Schizosaccharomyces pombe: one gene and its partners. Each later gene encodes a partner of the first gene's protein in a complex. Each region holds a gene or a part of one and is shown in the gene's direction. Other genes may lie near its edges.

Region 1 (4,641 bases):
ATAGGGTATGAAGAAGATGCTGAAGACGAAACTATGGATGGGTGCTTGAAATCCATGATATTTGAGCCATCCACATAACTGGATGGATCAGCGTTTTCAGTGGGATTGGAAATCGCAGTGTTTTCGAGTTGACGATGAATATCCTTGAGCGACGAGTGTTGGGAAGGACACATAGCGAAGCGAATACCAAACAGTCGTTTTGGATATGAGTCAAGGAGAACGAAAGGTATTTATAGGTATTTAAAGAATGAAAAGTTTCCAAGACAAAAAGAGAAAGATTAAAAAAAGAAAAAAGAAAAAACACTCAGTAGTAATGGAGAGAATTCGAATTTCCGAACTTCTTGTTGATGAAACGCTAACCGCAAAAAAAAATTTAACAATACACCGTTTAATAAACGAGAAATTAGAAGAAAAGCGGGATTATTTCAAAAAAGGAGAGGAAGCGAAAACTAAAGGAAAGATAGAATGGGTGGAAATTGTAGTAGGAAAGCAAATAAAATTGGAACCCAAGAAAACGCCTATAGTAGTTGTCTTTGAGCGAAGGAAAGTATAAAACAACAAAAAATTAGGTTTTTCCTCTTTCAAGTTGAATTATTATGAAACCGGGTTGAACAGGAATCTTCAAGGTAAGCGACCCCAAGAACGCACTCGTTCACGAACTAACCAAGTAAACGAGACAAGATGAACAAGCTTGACAGGATAAACAATGAAAGAAGAAAAACTTATAAAAACTAAATATATAAAGGGGAATATAGTAAAAATTGGCCCCCAAGCTGCGTTATAAGGAATTGACAGCAATTATATGATGACGGAGAAGAAAGGAGTAGAAACTGACGCAAGGCAGGATGTAAACGTCAAATCTTCAGGTGTTCCGATATGTAATGAGTCTTAAAACTGCTACTAGCCTAAAACCTAGCACCGTTCATCCACAAAGCGATGTCCAAAGAAACGTTTCAATCCGATGTTCCTATTTTGCTTGAATCCGTCGACACAACACACTGACTTGACAGTAACCGGGAGTACGATGGCAAAAATCAATGTCAGTGGATCCAGCAATTCGTAACAACACCAAAAGAATGGGCAATTCAGAACAAGATCAAAATGCTAACTAAAAGAAGCCTAGGTGTTGGGAAATCTCAAAATACCAATTAACCGAACTCCCCAAACAACGATTCGTACGAAAGCAACAAAAACCCTCTAAGATTCAATCAATAGCTTTCTTGATCACTAGAAATTTTCAAGAACGGATGGAGTTAAATATTCAACAGGGATGCGCAATCTACGCGAGTCTTAAGTTATGTTTTGCTGTCGCTAAGTAGAATTTATGGGAGGGAGGAAAAAGCTAAAAGTAGACGAAGCCGCTTAAGCTAAGGAATGTCTATAGCGATTAACATTACGTTATAAGGATTGCGTGGTGAAAAGAAGGTTGGCAAACTACGCATTACATGAGTAACGTTCGTTTATGGTATCTCGTATACGCATTCTACAATCGCTTACAGTATTCCTGTTTAGCAAACTCGATACAAGCAAAGCATACCTTGAACAACGTGGAGAATGCTCGCTTTGTAGTATTCGTGTTACCGTAATTCGTGCTGTATCTCACTCCGGGGGTAGTGAATATGATCAATTCACACTGCTTATAAAGAGAAATAGAGTCAGCAGGAAGTAGAAAGATAAATGGAAGGAAAAGAACGTAATTTCTATCCCAGAAAACGTTTGAAATGATCTTTTGAAATTATGTTTTGTTTGTAAGTATGAACGAAAAGCAAGGCACAACGCTATTTTATAAACAACGGAGTGCACAATACGATACGTCCATCTGCTTTCCATCCTTGATACCTGCATTGTCTTCGTGTTTACTCAAGTTGCTCTTAACCATACTCCTACCACCAAGTGGGAAAGACGGGATTTGTAGGACTCGTTGAAAACCGGCTCTTCTCAATGGTAGTAAAAATTCGTTTGGCGCGTCATGGCGTCAGAAATAGACCTTTTTACCATATCGTAGTTGCGAATGCATGGTAAGTAGGATGAAAACATACCTAGACGGTTGTTTCGTGTTTTACAACACTTGTAGCGGTTCACGTAAAGGGGAAAGTTTTTGTACAGGATTTAGTAAGGGAGATGGCTTGATGTGGGTTATGAAAGAATGGAAGATAAAATGCTAAAAGACTGCTTTTTTTTGACGGTTCCTTTGGCTCTAAATTGCGATCTTTTTTAGAAGCTTTAGTTTTCAGGTATTCCTGGATGCTCTCATCTATTTAATCTAGTCTTTCTACATAGTATTCAAAATGCCAAGGACACCAACCACAATTTTTCTTATTAATTGACTATTTATTGTGGTTTGGCCCCCTTGGCCTCTATTAACTGTTTACATATCACCTGTACATCCTTTTTTTTCTCCTTCATCCATTCCTGTCTTTTGGTTCGACTTTGTTAACTCAATATAGGAAAGCACCTCAAGCCAAACCTATCGAAACCATCGGCACTTTTGATCCCATCCCTAAGAAGATTGATTCTCAGGACTCCATTCCTCGTATAAAAGATATCCAGCTCAACGTTGAACGTTTTAAATATTGGATAAGTGTAGGAGCACAACCATCCGACACCGTCCGCTCTTTAGCTGAAAAGGTATGCCCAAGCTCTCTTTATCTATTTTTATGACTAGTCCAAATTCGTTAAACTTTCTTTCAACTCTCTTTTTTGACTAAAATTTTCGACCCGCTTGCGATATACCGCTCGGGTGATTTTTCTCATGTTCCCTAACTGCCCGGCTTTCCGAAATGGAGTGTAGGATCTCATCCCTGTTTTCGTTACGATTTGGCTACTAATTTACTTGTTTTACTTCTTTCTATCAATCTATCAATTCTTACTAACGTTACTTTTTTCACTTTTAGTTCCAGTTGCTTCCTAAAAAACCCGTTTCTTGAAACTCACTATAATCGTTATTGCTCAAGTCATGACATTTCTTTTTTACGACCACTTCACAATGTCTAGATATCTTTAACACATTTTTTATTTTTTTTTACACTTTATCTCTGTGATCACGCTAATTACCTCTCTCAACTAAATTTCATAATTTTTGACCGATTTTACCCTTCCGTACTGTTTTTTTAAAACCACGTTTTTTGGCTGAGTGCGATATTTGTTTTCTTTACGATTCTTTTTATTACAATATCACCTTTTTTTTTTTAATTCCTTCTCCACATTATCGTTAGCGTAGTGATATCTTAATTTCTAAATTTTTTAAAGTGTCTATCTATCTGAGGTTATGCGCTAGTTGAAAGCGCTCATAATTTGATGCTATCCATTTGTAATTACTTGTTGCTTTGTACTTAAAATTGTTTGGTAATGAGAAATCTTGGTACCAATATTTTGCCTTTGTAATTTTTAGCTTTTGCGTTTATGGTTAAAATGGATCTTCACTTTATACTGAAACTTCATTTCGTTTACTGATGTTATACCCTTATTTTTTTAGAAACAAATTAACAGCTTCATTTCAAATATTTAGGTTAATATCGGTGTATCTATTATTGCTTAGATTTTTGGACTTTCCGTTCGGAAACGGCAATGCGCTTTGTTGCTTTCCTGATTTCCTCATTCGTTTAATTGGAACTGAACACGTTCATTAATAGCCAATTGCAATAGTTGTACAATTCTAACAAATCATTCCTGTACTTCCGTTGAATTTATAAAAGACTTGTCTCAAAGGATTTAAAATCGTTCAACAATGAATATTAACAACTTAATCGTTTGTAACAAAATATTATAAATGGTGAACTAGCCTTATAAGCTAATTTATTAACTGTACCAGAAGCAATTTACTTTGGTATTATTACCATATTTCATCAACCAGTCCAACTCTACACCACTACATTTATTCATGCACCGAACAGTGTAATTTTCAATTAATGCATTAAATACAAGCTAAACATCACAAACCAAATAGTATGTAAAAATAAACTTGAAAAAGAAAGCGAGAAATCACTTAATGAAAAAAAAAAATCTACTACCAAATCTCGAAATGAGTATAGATCAAATTGCAATGCTTTTTCCCTGACATGCATATGTGTAACCGACATATAAGTAATAAACTAGTATACCGCATAGATAATCTAAATGAAAAGTGCTGATTTCGTACTAAAAGCCAACCGTTAAAAGAACCTTTAGTAAAATCGTTGATCGTAAAACTTCAGTTGAACGTTTAAAGAGCGAAAGATACCTATATACTTTCAAGCATTATTTTAAGCCCTGATTGCACAACCAAGAGAGCTTTTGGGCCAATCCTCCCAAAAGTAGAAAAAAGGACACTGTTAAGGACGGAAAACTATAGCAGCCCGAAAAGCACACATAAATTTAAGAAACAAAAATATAAGTAACACAAATTTATTCCATCCGTTTGACAGGTTGTTCTCCTGCTGGCAATGAAGGATGAGTGTCACCAATGTAAATCCAGAAGCCTGGTTCAATAACTTCTAAAACAGCTTGGGCTAAAGCATTCCTGGCATCGCTATCATGCTCTTCCCATTTGAAGTATCTTCTGGCCCAAACTGCTCCCTCTGCTTCTTCTTTCTTACGCATATCACGTTGTGATTGTTCGATTGTAGACTTTTTCGAGCTTACAATATCATAATTACCACTGGC
Region 2 (4,058 bases), on another chromosome or scaffold:
ATGCCAGAGAAAATTGTGATATGATTACTAATGAGTTGAGAAATGCGATACAAAGACAAAGGGAAGGCTCTCAATCTAAACCACAAGGAGCCAATGTCGATCGTGTAAATTCTACGAATCTAGAAAAGGACATCGACTTACAAGAGTCTTTGCTTACTAACAATCCCGATCTCTTACAAACATTTAAGGAAGCAGTTATGAAGGGACATTTAAGTAATGAGCAATTTTGGAGCACAAGGCTTCATTTGCTCCGCGCTCATGCTGTAGAAAGGTCTCAGCAGCGTGGTCCTTATAATGTCTTGTCTACTATTAAACCTAAAACAGTGGACAACCAAATGAAAGTTTCCCTTACCGGCCAGCAAATTCACGATATGTTTGAACAACATCCATTGCTCCGAAAGGTATATGACAAGCATGTGCCTCCTCTAGCAGAAGGAGAGTTTTGGAGTAGATTTTTCCTTTCCAAGCTTTGTAAAAAGCTTCGTGGCGACAGAATTACACCAATGGATCCCTCTGATGATATAATGGATAAGTATTTAAAAGATAATGAAGGTAATTTCTCCAACCTAGATGAATTCCATTTCTAACATTTTCAAGAGGTAACCAAAGTATCGGATGAACCTATTGCATCGCACCTCTTTGATTTAGAAGGAAATGATCAAAATGCAAATGTAATAGCAGAACTTAGACCTGATATCACTATGCGAATTGACAAAGAAGCTCTACCGTTTATGAAAAACATCAATCAGCTTTCGGAAAGACTTTTGGAAAAAAGTTTGGGGTATGTATATTCGGTTTTATTAATTGTTATTGCTTCGGTATGCCTAACAACTTGTAGAAACTCTAAACGATTTAACAACGAAAATGAAGAAACATACTTAAAAGAATCTGGTTTTCACGATTTAGAAGAAGAAGCCAGTGACTCTAAAGTTGTCTTAAAAATCAAAGGTCAAGATCAGTTATTGGAAAATAATTTTGTCCCCTCAAAAAATCAAGTTGGTTTAGAGCCTTTGCCTTCATTGGAAGCTCTTCAACATTTATACCAGGAAGATTCGATAAGCTTAAATCACATTGAACATGATTCTGACTCTTTGGCTGAAGCCGCTATGCAGCTTACTCAGAGTATGCGCGAAAAGCATGAGTTTGAGACCCACGGCACTGCATCAAATTTACCTATTGACATAAAAAATGAAATTGTTTTGTGCCATACCGTTACGATAGAATTTTTGCATCAATTTTGGAATGCCTTGTTGAATACAACTTTCCCGGACAAGAAGGCGATGGCCCCCCTTCAGAATGCTCTGTTAAATTCGAAAAAAAGGGTGGAGGCAATTGCGAGCCAGGCTCAGGAACAAAACGTTGATCCAAAACTGGTTTATGAGGTAAGTTTTTTTTGTAGAGATTTTGATTATTAACTAGGATTAGTTGGTATCCTGTACGCTCACTTCTATTGATACGTCAATCTCGGAGTATCAAAGACGAATGTCTTATCCTCCTGCTTAGGTTTGATAATGTCTTTGGAAACTCAATTGTGCTTGTAAAAGGTAATTGTTTCTGTTTTTCCATATAGAGGTTAATGATATATTGATATATTCTTTATTGGACTTAATGTTCTTTCTTCATAAAGGCTGGAAAAAATGAACATTGAAATGCTGGATATGGCTCTTTTTCTGTTTATACAACTCTTGAATTAAAAAACTTTTGTTTTGGTTTATAGATTCAAAAGACAATCAAAACTGTTTTTAGATTACTGTGCTCATAGGCCAAAATCTAATGTTTTTATGTCTTTATAGATTTTATTATTTATTAAAATTCGTTTTATGACACGAATATAGTATGTTATAAACTGATGTTCAATTAATTAATGTCCCATAATTTCTCTCTTTTGTTTTAAATGCTTGTTTTTACAATTTTTCAATTTATCGCTTCTCTGTATATTATATATAACTTTTTTTTTTACTTTCTTTCAAGGTATCAGTTCTGTATGATCCCAATAAAACTGTGTCTAGCTCAAGTATTAAATTTGGATACACAATTAATGATGAATATTTTAACATCGATTACCTAATTTATCTTATTTCAAGTTAATAAATAAATAGCCAAACGACTTTGAAATGTAGCACGCTAGCGCCTAGTTCCCTTCCCTTTTCTTTCATTTATCCATAGTGTATATGTACTAAGCTTAAACATCTACGCACACCTTAGCTTTCCTACATGCTTTGATTAATAAGAGTAATTGTTTTAAAAATTTCATTCAAGAAGAAAGAACAAACAATAAAGGGCCATGCTACGACTCATAAAGCAACCTTTGTTTCGATGTGCGAGTTCGGGACATTTGATGAAAGAGTCGCTTGTTTTTATCCATCAGACTCGTACTTTTCAAGTTGGAAAATTTACCTCAAATGAAAAATATAATGAAAAAATTGAAGATATCAATGAACGTTCAAATCCACAATGGGATAATGCGGGACTCGAAAATTTACTGAATCAACTTCAAGATTCTGTCGAACAGTCTGCCTCCGACGATTTTATGGGTGAATTAGAGAAAAAAATTGAAGTTGAAAATGAAGAACCGCCGCTAATGGGTACAAATCTGTGGCCTTCTCCGTCAAGTTCAATTGTAGGGTTAATAGATCGACCATTTCAGGTCGACTCTACAGTACAGCATTTGGTGAATTTAATAATGCGAGATGGGAAAAAAGCTAAAGCTGAAAAGATTGTTGCAACAGCGCTCTCTATCATACAAAAAGAAACCGGTGAAAATCCTATAGATGTTTTGAAACAAGCAATCGCTGAGATTTCTCCCTTAATGAAGTTGGTACGTCGAAATTATTGAAAATTTTGGAATTTTTTGTGAATTATTTCTTTTTATAGTGTGTAGACGGATTTGCTAATATTTTGATAGGTTTCTGCAAAGCGATTTAACAAAAGTGTCGAATTTCCTATGCCATTGAAAGAGCGACAGCGAAGAAGGATTGCGTTACAATGGATCCTCGGTGAATGTAAATCATCAAGTCCTAAAAGATTATCAGATCGTATTGTTAAAGAAATCATTGCTATCAGGAGCAAGACAAGCAATTGTTTCAAAAAGAAAGATCATCTGCACAGAATGTGCCTTGTTAACAGAGGTAATGCACCCGTTCGTATATAAAAACAAAAATTCCGTACATTTTTATCTTTTTTATGAATTGCATTCCCTTTTAGTAATGTTATTTTTGTCTAGTATATCGAGAATTGATTACTCTTAGTTATCAACTCAATTATACTACGTAGTGCGCAGTTAATCATATTCATGTTTATGAGGTTATAGTTTGGTTGTAAAATAACTTTCATAATATTCATCAACATTCTTCTACAGCTCCTTTTCAGTTAACGGAAATGCTACAGAATTTATCTTCTATGAAGTATATTGTTGTTTTTTCAAAACAAAGAAGGGAAAGTAAATTAGTTCATCGACTAAACTGTTAATTTCCTCTATATAAATTAAATTGACAATGTACAGCTAGCACAATGCTAGTTTAGAAATAAACAACAACGTGCAAAGACACAGTATCCATTCCTTTATTATGGACAGGATCCATAAGTTCAAACGTGCACGTTTCAAATGCCATTAAAACGTCTTCATCGGATGTGATGGTTATAAAATCGCCATCCTCATCAACATACTTCAGTCTAACCCGAAAAGGAACAGCTTGTTTCAAAATCCCACAAAGCTTTATTTTATGTTCTACCTTGGCTAACAGCTCATCAAATGTTATATCATGAGCAACAACCAGGACGAGACTAACCTCATGTAAACGGAGACGAATTTTAACATTCGTGGTATTTCGAACTGATAGGGAGGTAGACGTGGAACTCGAGCTTAACGAAGTATGTTTAGTAGAAGGGAGCAAACTACCATCTGATTTCATACCCGCTGAATATGAATATTGACGAGGTCTCATTACGTCGCAATCATTAGTAGTAGGTTGATCAAAAATTTTTTGTTTCGTTGATGAAGATGTATCTTCAAAAATGCTGACTGAAGACCCATCATCAGTACCTGAATACACCCTAGT
Region 3 (5,919 bases), 3.3 Mb from region 1:
GGGGAATACACGTCAATCCCAGGAGCAGCAATAGAAATTCGAACACGCTTTGGATCCTCTAGATTTCGGCTGTTAGAGTCTGTGATTATGGGGCCTGTAATCGTGGTCATTTCAATCGGAGGTCGCTGTTCAATGGTAATCTGAGAACCAGACGCTAAACTAGTGTCAATTGAAGAAAAGGGAGCAGCCACTATGAAAGGCTTTCCAAAGTGTTTTGCCAAAATAGCAAGATTATATGTGCCAATCTTGTTTGCAGTATCGCCATTACGAGTAACGCGGTCGGCGCCGACGACAATGGCATCGATTTTGTGCATAATTGAAGCAACCGTGGAATCTGTGACTAGAGTTGCTGGAATTTTATCATGAACCAACTCAAAAGCAGTGAGACGAGAGCCTTGGTTATAAGGGCGAGTTTCTGTACAATAAGCGTGTTCCAAGTTCCCCGATTCGTGTAAACTACGAATGATCCCCAAAGCTGTACCATAACCTGAGGTAGCTAAAGATCCAGTGTTGCAATGGGTCAAAACGGTGAGCTTGTCTTTATCTTTGTAATGCTGCAACAAGAATTTTCGGCCAGCAGTTCCAATATTGTGGTTGTCTTCTAAATCTTTTACTAGCATACGCTCCGCTTCCTGAATAATTTTATTTCGACAATTTTTTCCTTCTTGAAGAGCAATGCCTTGCATAAACTTTGCAGTTTCAAAAAGATTGACAGCGGTAGGACGAGACTGTTTGAGATGCTCAAAGCTATTTATAACATATTCTTTTGCATCTGCATCTTCAGAAAGATGTTTTAATCCGACAGCCACACTCAAAGCTGCTACAATAGCAATAGCTGGGGCCCCACGAACTTGCATTTTTTTTATGACAGCGAATGCGTCTTCTACATTACTAACTGAAATGTATTTACGCTCGTACGGAAGAAGTAATTGGTCTAATACAAGAAGCTTGTCCTCATTATAAATGATTGCTTGCAACGACATTCTGCCCAAATTTTTGAATATCTCTGCCTTTGAAAACTTTTACTTCACTAGCGCACGAACGCACATGCATCAGATAAAATTAAAGGATTTGATGAAGCTCGTAGCGATGCATTAATAGAAATAATGAATTAATATAAAGTTACACTGTGTAGTTTACTTAGGAACAAAAAATAGTACATTAAGTTTAATATAAATTTATAAGAAGAGTTAACGCAGTCTTTCGTACTTTTGACACTGCTTATAGATAGATAAAATTAGCAACCCTAACTTAATATTGTGCTTCTTATTTATCCGCACTATTTGATATGCATCTAACATTTTGAACGCGTAAACAAAAAATTTAGACTCATTCAAAGATGTAAGTTCCATCGTCAAATTATATTACCAAGTTATTTTGATAATGAGTATGGTGCCTTGAATTATAGATTAAAAAATGTATCACCGAATTTATTTTTAATAATGAGTCGATCTGACATATTAGAATCAAGGAATAATAATATGCATTGATGTTTTATGAAGGAATTACAGCTGTAGAACCTATGTATACAAACTTCAAACTTTTAAAGATGAGAACGATATATTTTTTTCGTTTTCCAGAAAAGCCATGCTTGAAGTATTTATCAAGATGTTCGGTAGTGTCAATTTAATAATCATATGTGCGACTTTGACTTTGACATGCAGCAAGAAGTTGTTGACACCAACCTATCTGCTTGAAAAGTGATACTCGTTTGCAATACTTAAATATATATATATATATATCAGTGATCGCAAGTCAGTTTTGAATGCAGGATTGGTAAACAAGGGTCGCAAGTTAATATATTTATATAGCTGTCTGCTGTAACAGTTTAACATACAACCTTGAAACTGTAAAACATTGAATATTTTTCATTGTTAAAGCCAATTTAAATGAGAACGATTATTGTGTTACGAGGTAAGCATTTAATTCCAAAATCCCTATGTATTCTTGTAGTATAAAGTAATTTGAATGACAAATCAGTAGATTCTTCCATAATTGCAAGTAGGATGCCAGTCCCAAACCTTTAATTCCTAGCTCAAAAGCACAATTGTTCAGTTCACACTTTTGTTAACTTCCGGAATTTGTTATTGTAAAATAATTGTCTCCTCATAATTTTAAAAAATTACATCTCATTGCTGACTGAGAACTCTCATCATACTGGTCAATTTTAAATTGTGCTGAAAGCCTTATAATCACAAATATTCATGTTTAATCGAATTTTTTTGGTTTTCTTCACTATGGTGCATCAATAATATTTTTAGTACAGTACAATCACACCCACCTTTGAATTCTAAACTTTGACCTTCAAATGCAAATAAAAAATTTATAGTTAGATCGTTCCATCATAGTATAAATTACAGAATGATATTGCTTTTTTAAAATAAATGTTACCATCTACGTGTTTTTCAAGGTATTCACGCGCGAACGACATTTAAAATGATTTCGCTCCGCTTGTTTATGTTCAATTAAAACATTGATTAATAACCCCTTAGTCCTACGATAATTGTGTTAAACTGAATATGATGGTGGATGACAAGTGTAGCTCGACCATTACTCCCCACTCCAACCAAAAAATTTTGTTAAAAAAAAACACCTTTACAGTGTTTAATTGTTGGAATTTTGTTCTTGTGGTTTTCTTAACAAGTATTTTAAGTAACCGGCTAAAATATTAATCATGAAACGGTATATGTTTGGTACATTACCTCGCGTGCAACCGAAACGTTGTTTCCAGACAGCTATTGGCAAAGAATCACCGTATGTATTCAATCCTTTCCTCTAATTTAAGCTATAATTTTGTACATTCTAACCCCAATTTATTAGCAAAGGGAACAGCGAAAAGGATCAACTTTTTGAGAATCCATTTTTTCAACAGCTTCCTTCCAACGTTGCAGCTGTATATTTGAACCCTGTTAAATTCAATCCTTCTGAAAACGACGTACTTTGTGCTTCTCTAAAAATTAAAAGCTTTGAAACTCCAAAACTTGATACGTTTACCGACTTCATTTGTCGAACAGCGTATTACATGAAAATTCCAATCAAGGGTCCACGTCCATTACCCAACAAAGTAGAAAGCTGGACTTTACTCCGATCACCTTTTATTCACAAATCTTCTCAGGAGAATTTTGAACGTATTACGCACTCTCGACTTATACAACTGTACAGTGTCAATCCAGTTACTTTAGAAACGTTTTTTAGTTATTTACGAAAATGCAACATGTGGGATTTAAAATTGCAAGCAAAAGCTTATGAATACGAATCCATCGATGATGCCCTTAAAAACTTCGAGTCACAGTCTAAGTCTACTGATAATTTCAAAGAATTGTTAAACGGTCCTTCGAAAAAAGATATAATCACACAAAATGCCGAAAAATTGCTCAGAAACGACCCCATTTACAAAGATTTGTTAAAAAATTCATCTCGAAAATAAAAATTAACTAATGTGTTTTCAATTACTCTGATGTTGGACCGTTTATTAGCAAAAATACTCTGACTGTATTCGTACTTTTTTTTTTAACAATATGACACTAGCTTTTCTTCATTAAAAGTGTTCTTTAACTAAAAACGTTACGAATAGTCCACACTTGTTTCGTTAGTTTTCCTCACCAGTAATTTTTGAAGTTTCTTGGGGATTGCTTTTCGAAAGAACAAAACCCGCAAGTGCCTTAGGTCCTTCAGATTTTTCCATTTCAAGCTGTTCCATTGGATCCATTGGTGCTGCTGCACTTTCAATTTTAGCTGCTCTCTTCGCTATATGAAGGGAATCAGTGCTAAACTTAGTTTGTACAGACCGTTTAATACGAAGCATTTCTTTAACTGTTTCTTCTGGATTTCCGTACCTTATTTCAAATTCTTGCCATGCTTTCCAATAATCCGTTTCAACTCTTGGATCACAGTATTGACTTCCATGAATATATATTAAACGAGCACGATCGATTTCACCAAGTTTCGTCTCCATTTCAGCAAACCTTAAGCACATATCTTTGACTTCTGAGTCACTCAGGGATTCAATAGCCTTCTCATAAACTGTCCTTGTCGCCAGTACACCATAATTTAATGCCACTTTAACGAGTAACACATTGTAAATAGCAAGACGGTCTGCTGTTTTAACCTTGTCGGCCGCTTTTTCTAAAATAGAAATGGATCTTTTTGCTTTGCCAAACTTTTCTTCGAAATCGGCATACAGAAGATAAATACTTTTCGAAAATTCGGGCGGACATCCTTCTAATGCTTGTTCAAATAAATCCCTGGTCCTTTCCATATGCGTTCCTTGATATCGTTTAACAAATTTTGTTAAATATAAATTCCAAAGTTCAAAAGCCACGGGATAACTAAATAACGCAACACCTCTCTCATAAATTTTAAATGAATCTTCAAAATAAGCATTCTCCTCTAAGAGATTTGCATAATTGACAACCACCTGGGGAGTAGCAATTTTTAGTTCAAAGACGCGGTCGTACAATTTGCGTGTAGTTTCAATCGTACCAACGCTTTCCTCAAGATCAAGATAATACATCCATATCTTAGATGACTTGTGTAGCCGTACTTGTGGACTGAGTGATTCATCAAAAAAGCTGATATGACTTTTTCTAGGAGCATGAACGGCATCTCCTATTAATTTTCTCGCAGCGTCAAAATTTTGATGTCGAAGTTCCATCTCGGCCCAGTCAATCCAAACTTGTGCTAACTCATTGACTGTTTTATATGGTACATGAGTAGCCTTTTCAAAAATTATCCTTGATTGTTCTAAATCATCAAAATTTTCATAAAAACGAGCAAACTCTGAAAACAATTTGCCGAGGGAGCCATGCGCCAGCTTTGGATTTACATTTTTTATAGCGTCTGTGTAAACTTGAACAACTTTTTCGCTGTCGTCTTCTAAAAACTTGACTCGGCGAAGCCATTCGTCAACGTTATTTATATTTTGCCTTAATAATACATCATTGATATAAAGCGGACGTTTGTCAAGTATTTTCTCGAGCCAGGCCATATGAAAATCGATACTTAATTCGTCATTTGCATTTCCGCTGCTTGCTTCAACTCGTGCAGATAGCCATTGCTCTTCGAATTCAACAAAAGCATCGAATATAATTGTAAAATTTCTTACAGTCATTATGTTATTCATCCCTTCATAGAATGTGCTTCTTGCCTGTACGATAAGTTAGTTTTTGCAATAAGGGGTCAATAAACAAACCAGTTAAACATACCTTCTCGTAGTCACCAATGCGTATATAATATTGTGCCAAATAAGTCCATAGTTTCCCTGCTTGATCAGAAAACCTTTTAATGCCAGCTCTAAAAACCTTTTCTACGTCTATGTTTTGCGTATGGTCAGGATGCTGAACAACTAACTCGGAAAACTCGAGCCATATCTGATAATTGCTCTTCCTTTTTGCTGATAAAAACACGGGCCGATTTAAAATATCCTCATATTGTCGAGCAGCTTCATTCCACAGCCCTAATTTACAAAGTATCTCAATGTAGTTTTCAATTGCTCTTGGTTCTACTTGTATATATCTGCGGTAGACATGGATGCAAAATAATCCTCCAATATCTTCAGCATATTTCGTAAACATGTCCCAAATATCATCGTGCTGAGTTACCGGTAAGGCGCGAAGTGCAGAGTTAAATGTACAACGAATCTTAGTGACATTTGGTTGTTTCATCAAAAATTGTAAATATAGTTTCCAAATAACAGGCATTTTATGCAATAAAATCAAAGAGCGCTCAAAACAATCGTTTACAGAAGCAAAAGCTTCGGCATGAAAATATGGGTTCAAATGTTCAACATGCGCTACACGTAGTTCCAAATAGCTTTTCCATATTTTATAGCTTCCCGGGAGTTCTGAACAAGCTCTTTCAAATAAAAGCACACGCTTTTCCAAAGTAGATCCTTCATGGGTCTTTATATATCGTAACCAA
Region 4 (4,200 bases), on another chromosome or scaffold:
CCAGCATAACGAAACACAGAAGACAGAGCAGAATATTTGCTGTGATATTTTGCCATTCTCAATTTTGTAGATACACCATTGCTTTGGACTGCAACCTTTTCCAAATGTTAGCACTGTGTAAAAGAGATAGGAAAAATTGTATATTTAAGTTGTTTTTACCTTTCCGTTGTCCGTATTTACTTGAATTGACTGTAGTTGAGCAGAAAAAACATTATCCCACCATTGATCAGCAATATCATGTTTAGCACCAAGCTACCGTGTGTTAAAAATAAATTCATACATAACTTTACTGAAAAAACCCATCTTTTTCTAAGATTTTTTATTCTGACATACCCCATGAGTATTATATTTTCTAGAAGTTAAAATTGGTTTGGTGAGCCCTCCTTCTTTTAAAGCGTTTCCTTCCTCCCAACCAAAGGAATTCAAATATCTTTTGGAACTAAACATCAATGGCTGATGAAGTTTTGCATAAAACTTTTCATGGGTACTTCGTGGTAAAGGGAGTAGTGCCATGGGATGCCATGAATACCTAATATGAAAAAAAATAAAAAAAGTCCTTGAATCGTCTCGGAAAAGGAAAAAAATATGAAATATAAATTTCCTATTTGTATGTATGAATAAATAATTTCTAAACGTTAAATTGGAAAAGGTCGTTTCGTAAGGTCAGAAAGGTGAGGCTCTAATGATGAAATTGGATAGATGAAGCCTAAGAATATCATTTTCTAATTAACAGATTACTTTATTGAACCTGTTTTAATGGAATATTTTCATGCTGTGGGTGATTGGCATACCAATCAACCAAAAGCAGTGCCTTGAGAAAGTCCATGATTTTTAAAGAGAGTCCAAGAGCAAGAATGAGGTTACTTGCGTAATAAAAATTTGCATTTCCACATCCAAGAGTTATCCAAGAATGGTAAAATGCAGATCCCAGTACAAGCGCAAACACAATAGCATTATTTGTAAGCAAGCTATATCGCATTCGGTCTTGGACTTTATTAAAAATTGGGAGGAGAGATAAAAATATTGAAAGATCACAAATACTTGGGTAAGCTTTGAATAAAGAATGCAGGCCAATAAGAGCAATAGTAATAGGCAAGGGCAGATAATAAAGACGGATCGAAACAGGGAGAACAAACATCAATGGTAAAATGGCAAATACAAAAAGGAAGAATGTGCGAAATTCATTGAACATTTCTGTAAAAAAATACCACCAGAGACCCAAATTCGGAGTTAGATCATGAGAGTCCAAGTATACCCTAAATGGAATTTTCAAAAAAGATAACGAGTTCAGAAAGAAGCCTGAAGTTATTATCAGACCTGCAAGATAAAAAAGAAAAACAACGAATATCTGACGAAATTTAATGGATGAATTGCATTTTCTTAAAATAAGATAGGAGGGGAAAAATAACAGTAAAGCGTTAGGATTAATGAATACAGTCAATGCCATACAGCATGCATAAATTGCATAGGATCCGCAAGAGGCGAAATAAATGGTCATTAGAGTGGTGAAATTAAGTATCATGTCTGCGGAGCAAGCAATTCCTGGAAGAAATGTTAATGGGTTAAGCAGATAACTAAAGTAATATTTTGTTAGTAAATTTTGAGTTAAGGATACTTGTTTGCGACACAAATATATCACAGAAGTACACATTTTCAATATCGACTACGAAATCTGTGTAATCAACGCAGTTCAATCTTTGAACAGTCATCGTTAACAATTTTGTAAACCAACGATACAATGCTTTTCATTTTTTTGAAGAATGTCTCACTTTTTTTGTCGCAAGCCATATGCGTAACTTACATGACGGAAATCCATAATGGTGAACAAGTAGATAGTACTTGATTTGGGTCTAAAACACGAGCTTGTTTTGCAATTAAATACACAAAGAGACCTCCCATAGTAGAAATGCTAGTATAAACAAATCTGGTGACAGATATTCCTCCAAGCAACTCACAACAATAATTTAAGATCAGTAGAAGTGGAGACTGATAGAAAACACCACCAGAATAGGGGTCTAGTCCGTTTTCATACAAGTAAAGTCCTTCACGAACACGTAAAAATCCGGATACAGGCGTCGATACTTCGATTCGCCTGTAAAGGAATTCAGCAATCCAAGTGTTTGCTAAATACCATTGAAGAAAAAAAGAAATTGATAATAAACCTAATAGTTTTAGCTTCTCATTTGGTATCATTGCAAAATCTTCACTGTTCAAAAGATGGGTTATATTTGTGTTTTCAATTCACCAATCTTCGTTTAAATTACAGTCGTTGGGTATCCCAAATGATCCGTTTGAAAAACTTTTAAGGCAGCCACCAAAGTAAGATTTTTAATTTTTTATTTCTTTATTTTTTCTTTAAAACGAGAAGAGTGTTTTAGGTTAATATTTACACGTTCATACCACTACCACAGGTTGAGTAACATAAGTTACCTGGTATAGAAATTATGGTATTGAAGCACTCGGTTACTTACAATTTGTCATTTTTCATTTCCTTTACATTTTCATCCATATTTTTTAGTTCTTTGATTTTATTTTTGGTTTACAAATCGGTTCTTAGCAAGCTATTTTTCATCAAATATCTAATGCTTAATTTAACAAAAGTTGGACTACGAAGATTTTGGAGCCAGAGTCCTAGGCGGAATGCGCCCAAAAAGGAACTCTCTTCTCTTTTAGAATCCACAATCACTCCAAAAGCTTTTTCAAAAAGGACGGAGGAGCCAAATCCGATTATGCAAGGTACGGATACCATTCCAATGCCATTTTACCTTCATGCCAAATGTTTGAAGAACAACACTCACATTACACTTTGTTCTCCTGAAAGAAAAATTATTTTTAGGGCCTCTGGAGGAACCTGTGGTTTTCGTAAAGGAAAGCGCCGTGGCTACGATGCTGCTTATACCATTTGCTCCAAGGTGCTGGAACAAATCCAAGTAAAGCGCCTTGGTATTGAAAATTTGCATGTTATATTTCATGGTTTTAGTCAGGCCAGGGAAGCAGTACAAAATTGTTTATTAGGGCAAGAAGGTGCCGTAATTCGAGACAAAATTGTAAAGGTTATGGATCGAACACCTATTAAATTTGGAGGACCGAGAGGTAGAAGGGAGCGACGCATATGAAGTATGTTTATATTACTTTTCTGTTTTCTTCGTTTACGTAATCTTCCTGTGCAGTTAATCTGCTGCCCAACATTGTTGGTGCTTTTCCACCGTTGTATTTGACCTTCTGAACTTAGAAATGATTTATTAATACCGGTGTGATAGTGCAACATGATTTCTTAAAAAAAACTATATCCCATCTCTAATTCAACACAAATAGTTTTTACCTATCTTTCTCTGTAATTTATGAAATGCAAAAGACATTATTATTCCCATATTATTTACATTATAAATAATGACCGTCACTGATCAATAAGTAGACACTTCTATATCTAATTTTATCTGCCATACTTATTACATTACAACTGCTGACACCATATCAATTTCAGACAGTAAATATTCATAAAAATCGTCATCGACCCAATTTTCAGAGCCTACTGCTGATAATCGACTGGATGTGCGTTCTTTCACTTCTGAAGTGTAATTTAAATCTCCTTTTACGAACCAAGGCTCATACCATCTTCCCAAAACATCTGCGAATGGGCAGACGTACTCGACAGATTTATCATGCAGGCAACGAAAATATGTGTTTGATAGTTTTGATACCATTTGTAATCTTCTTGGTAATTCTTTTAAGTCATCCTTATGTTCATCAATATTGTCAGCGCTGTCATTATAATCGAGTGCATTTTTGTCAATTTGTGTCCATAGTGAGCCTTGGAAACAGACAATGTCATCTTCGTTTACATAAATATCAGATATGTACATAAAACTTGTTTTTTGAAGTACAGATGGCAGTGAAGATGTGGATATAACACATAAATCATTAATCCATAGTTTTTCGGCTCCACGGAAAATTCCGTAAAAATGATCATCTAAACTATTTGATTCACCCCCAAAGGTTGGTAAAACTGTGAGAGGGATGGAATAATTTTCGTCGTGGAACTTTGGTTCTTCCATATCTATACCTTCTAGTGGCTGGAAGATACCAAATAGGTTCCACGTTTGACATATAGAATGAGCAACTAGATGTTCTTGTTTTTGTAAATCGAGTGGATGCCGGGACCAAGGCTCAATATCTGCAGCTGCCATGTCAAAGTAATAA

What was found.
Region 2: mrps16 (region 1) and rsm7 share a complex: the UniProt entries of both Schizosaccharomyces pombe proteins name them as parts of the mitochondrial small ribosomal subunit.
Region 3: mrps16 (region 1) and rsm10 share a complex: the UniProt entries of both Schizosaccharomyces pombe proteins name them as parts of the mitochondrial small ribosomal subunit.
Region 4: mrps16 (region 1) and mrps18 share a complex: the UniProt entries of both Schizosaccharomyces pombe proteins name them as parts of the mitochondrial small ribosomal subunit.

The regions. Positions count from the first base shown.
Region 1 is NC_003423.3:553,952-558,592, forward strand, and holds mrps16 (mitochondrial ribosomal protein subunit S16), read left to right. Parts: upstream 1-1,873; 5' UTR 1,874-1,941; coding exon 1,942-2,018; exon of another isoform or gene 2,019-2,447; coding exon 2,448-2,628; intron 2,629-2,894; coding exon 2,895-2,927; 3' UTR 2,928-3,297; downstream 3,298-4,641. Other genes in the region: sre2 (membrane-tethered transcription factor), read right to left, coding at 1-173; osh42 (oxysterol binding protein), read right to left, coding at 4,384-4,641. UniProt on the Schizosaccharomyces pombe protein: Component of the mitochondrial ribosome (mitoribosome), a dedicated translation machinery responsible for the synthesis of mitochondrial genome-encoded proteins, including at least some of the essential transmembrane subunits of the mitochondrial respiratory chain.
Region 2 is NC_003424.3:3,517,987-3,522,044, reverse strand, and holds rsm7 (mitochondrial 37S ribosomal protein uS7m), read left to right. Parts: upstream 1-2,203; 5' UTR 2,204-2,284; coding exon 2,285-2,818; intron 2,819-2,905; coding exon 2,906-3,151; 3' UTR 3,152-3,331; downstream 3,332-4,058. Other genes in the region: transcription factor TFIIH complex subunit Tfb1, read left to right, coding at 1-552, 598-781, 839-1,382, 1,426-1,503; RhoGEF Scd1, read right to left, coding at 3,519-4,058. UniProt on the Schizosaccharomyces pombe protein: Component of the mitochondrial ribosome (mitoribosome), a dedicated translation machinery responsible for the synthesis of mitochondrial genome-encoded proteins, including at least some of the essential transmembrane subunits of the mitochondrial respiratory chain.
Region 3 is NC_003423.3:3,867,619-3,873,537, forward strand, and holds rsm10 (mitochondrial 37S ribosomal protein uS10m), read left to right. Parts: upstream 1-2,549; 5' UTR 2,550-2,674; coding exon 2,675-2,754; intron 2,755-2,820; coding exon 2,821-3,427; 3' UTR 3,428-3,589; coding exon of another isoform or gene 3,590-5,146; 3' UTR 5,147-5,202; downstream 5,203-5,919. Other genes in the region: mri1 (methylthioribose-1-phosphate isomerase), read right to left, coding at 1-983; protein Cwf3, read right to left, coding at 3,590-5,146, 5,205-5,919. UniProt on the Schizosaccharomyces pombe protein: Component of the mitochondrial ribosome (mitoribosome), a dedicated translation machinery responsible for the synthesis of mitochondrial genome-encoded proteins, including at least some of the essential transmembrane subunits of the mitochondrial respiratory chain.
Region 4 is NC_003424.3:4,966,139-4,970,338, reverse strand, and holds mrps18 (putative mitochondrial ribosomal protein subunit S18), read left to right. Parts: upstream 1-2,476; 5' UTR 2,477-2,582; coding exon 2,583-3,116; 3' UTR 3,117-3,349; downstream 3,350-4,200. Other genes in the region: tma23 (ribosome biogenesis protein), read right to left, coding at 1-95, 160-252, 334-447; gab1 (Pig-U family GPI transamidase subunit), read right to left, coding at 740-1,574, 1,802-2,193; SHREC complex subunit Clr2, read right to left, coding at 3,450-4,200. UniProt on the Schizosaccharomyces pombe protein: Component of the mitochondrial ribosome (mitoribosome), a dedicated translation machinery responsible for the synthesis of mitochondrial genome-encoded proteins, including at least some of the essential transmembrane subunits of the mitochondrial respiratory chain.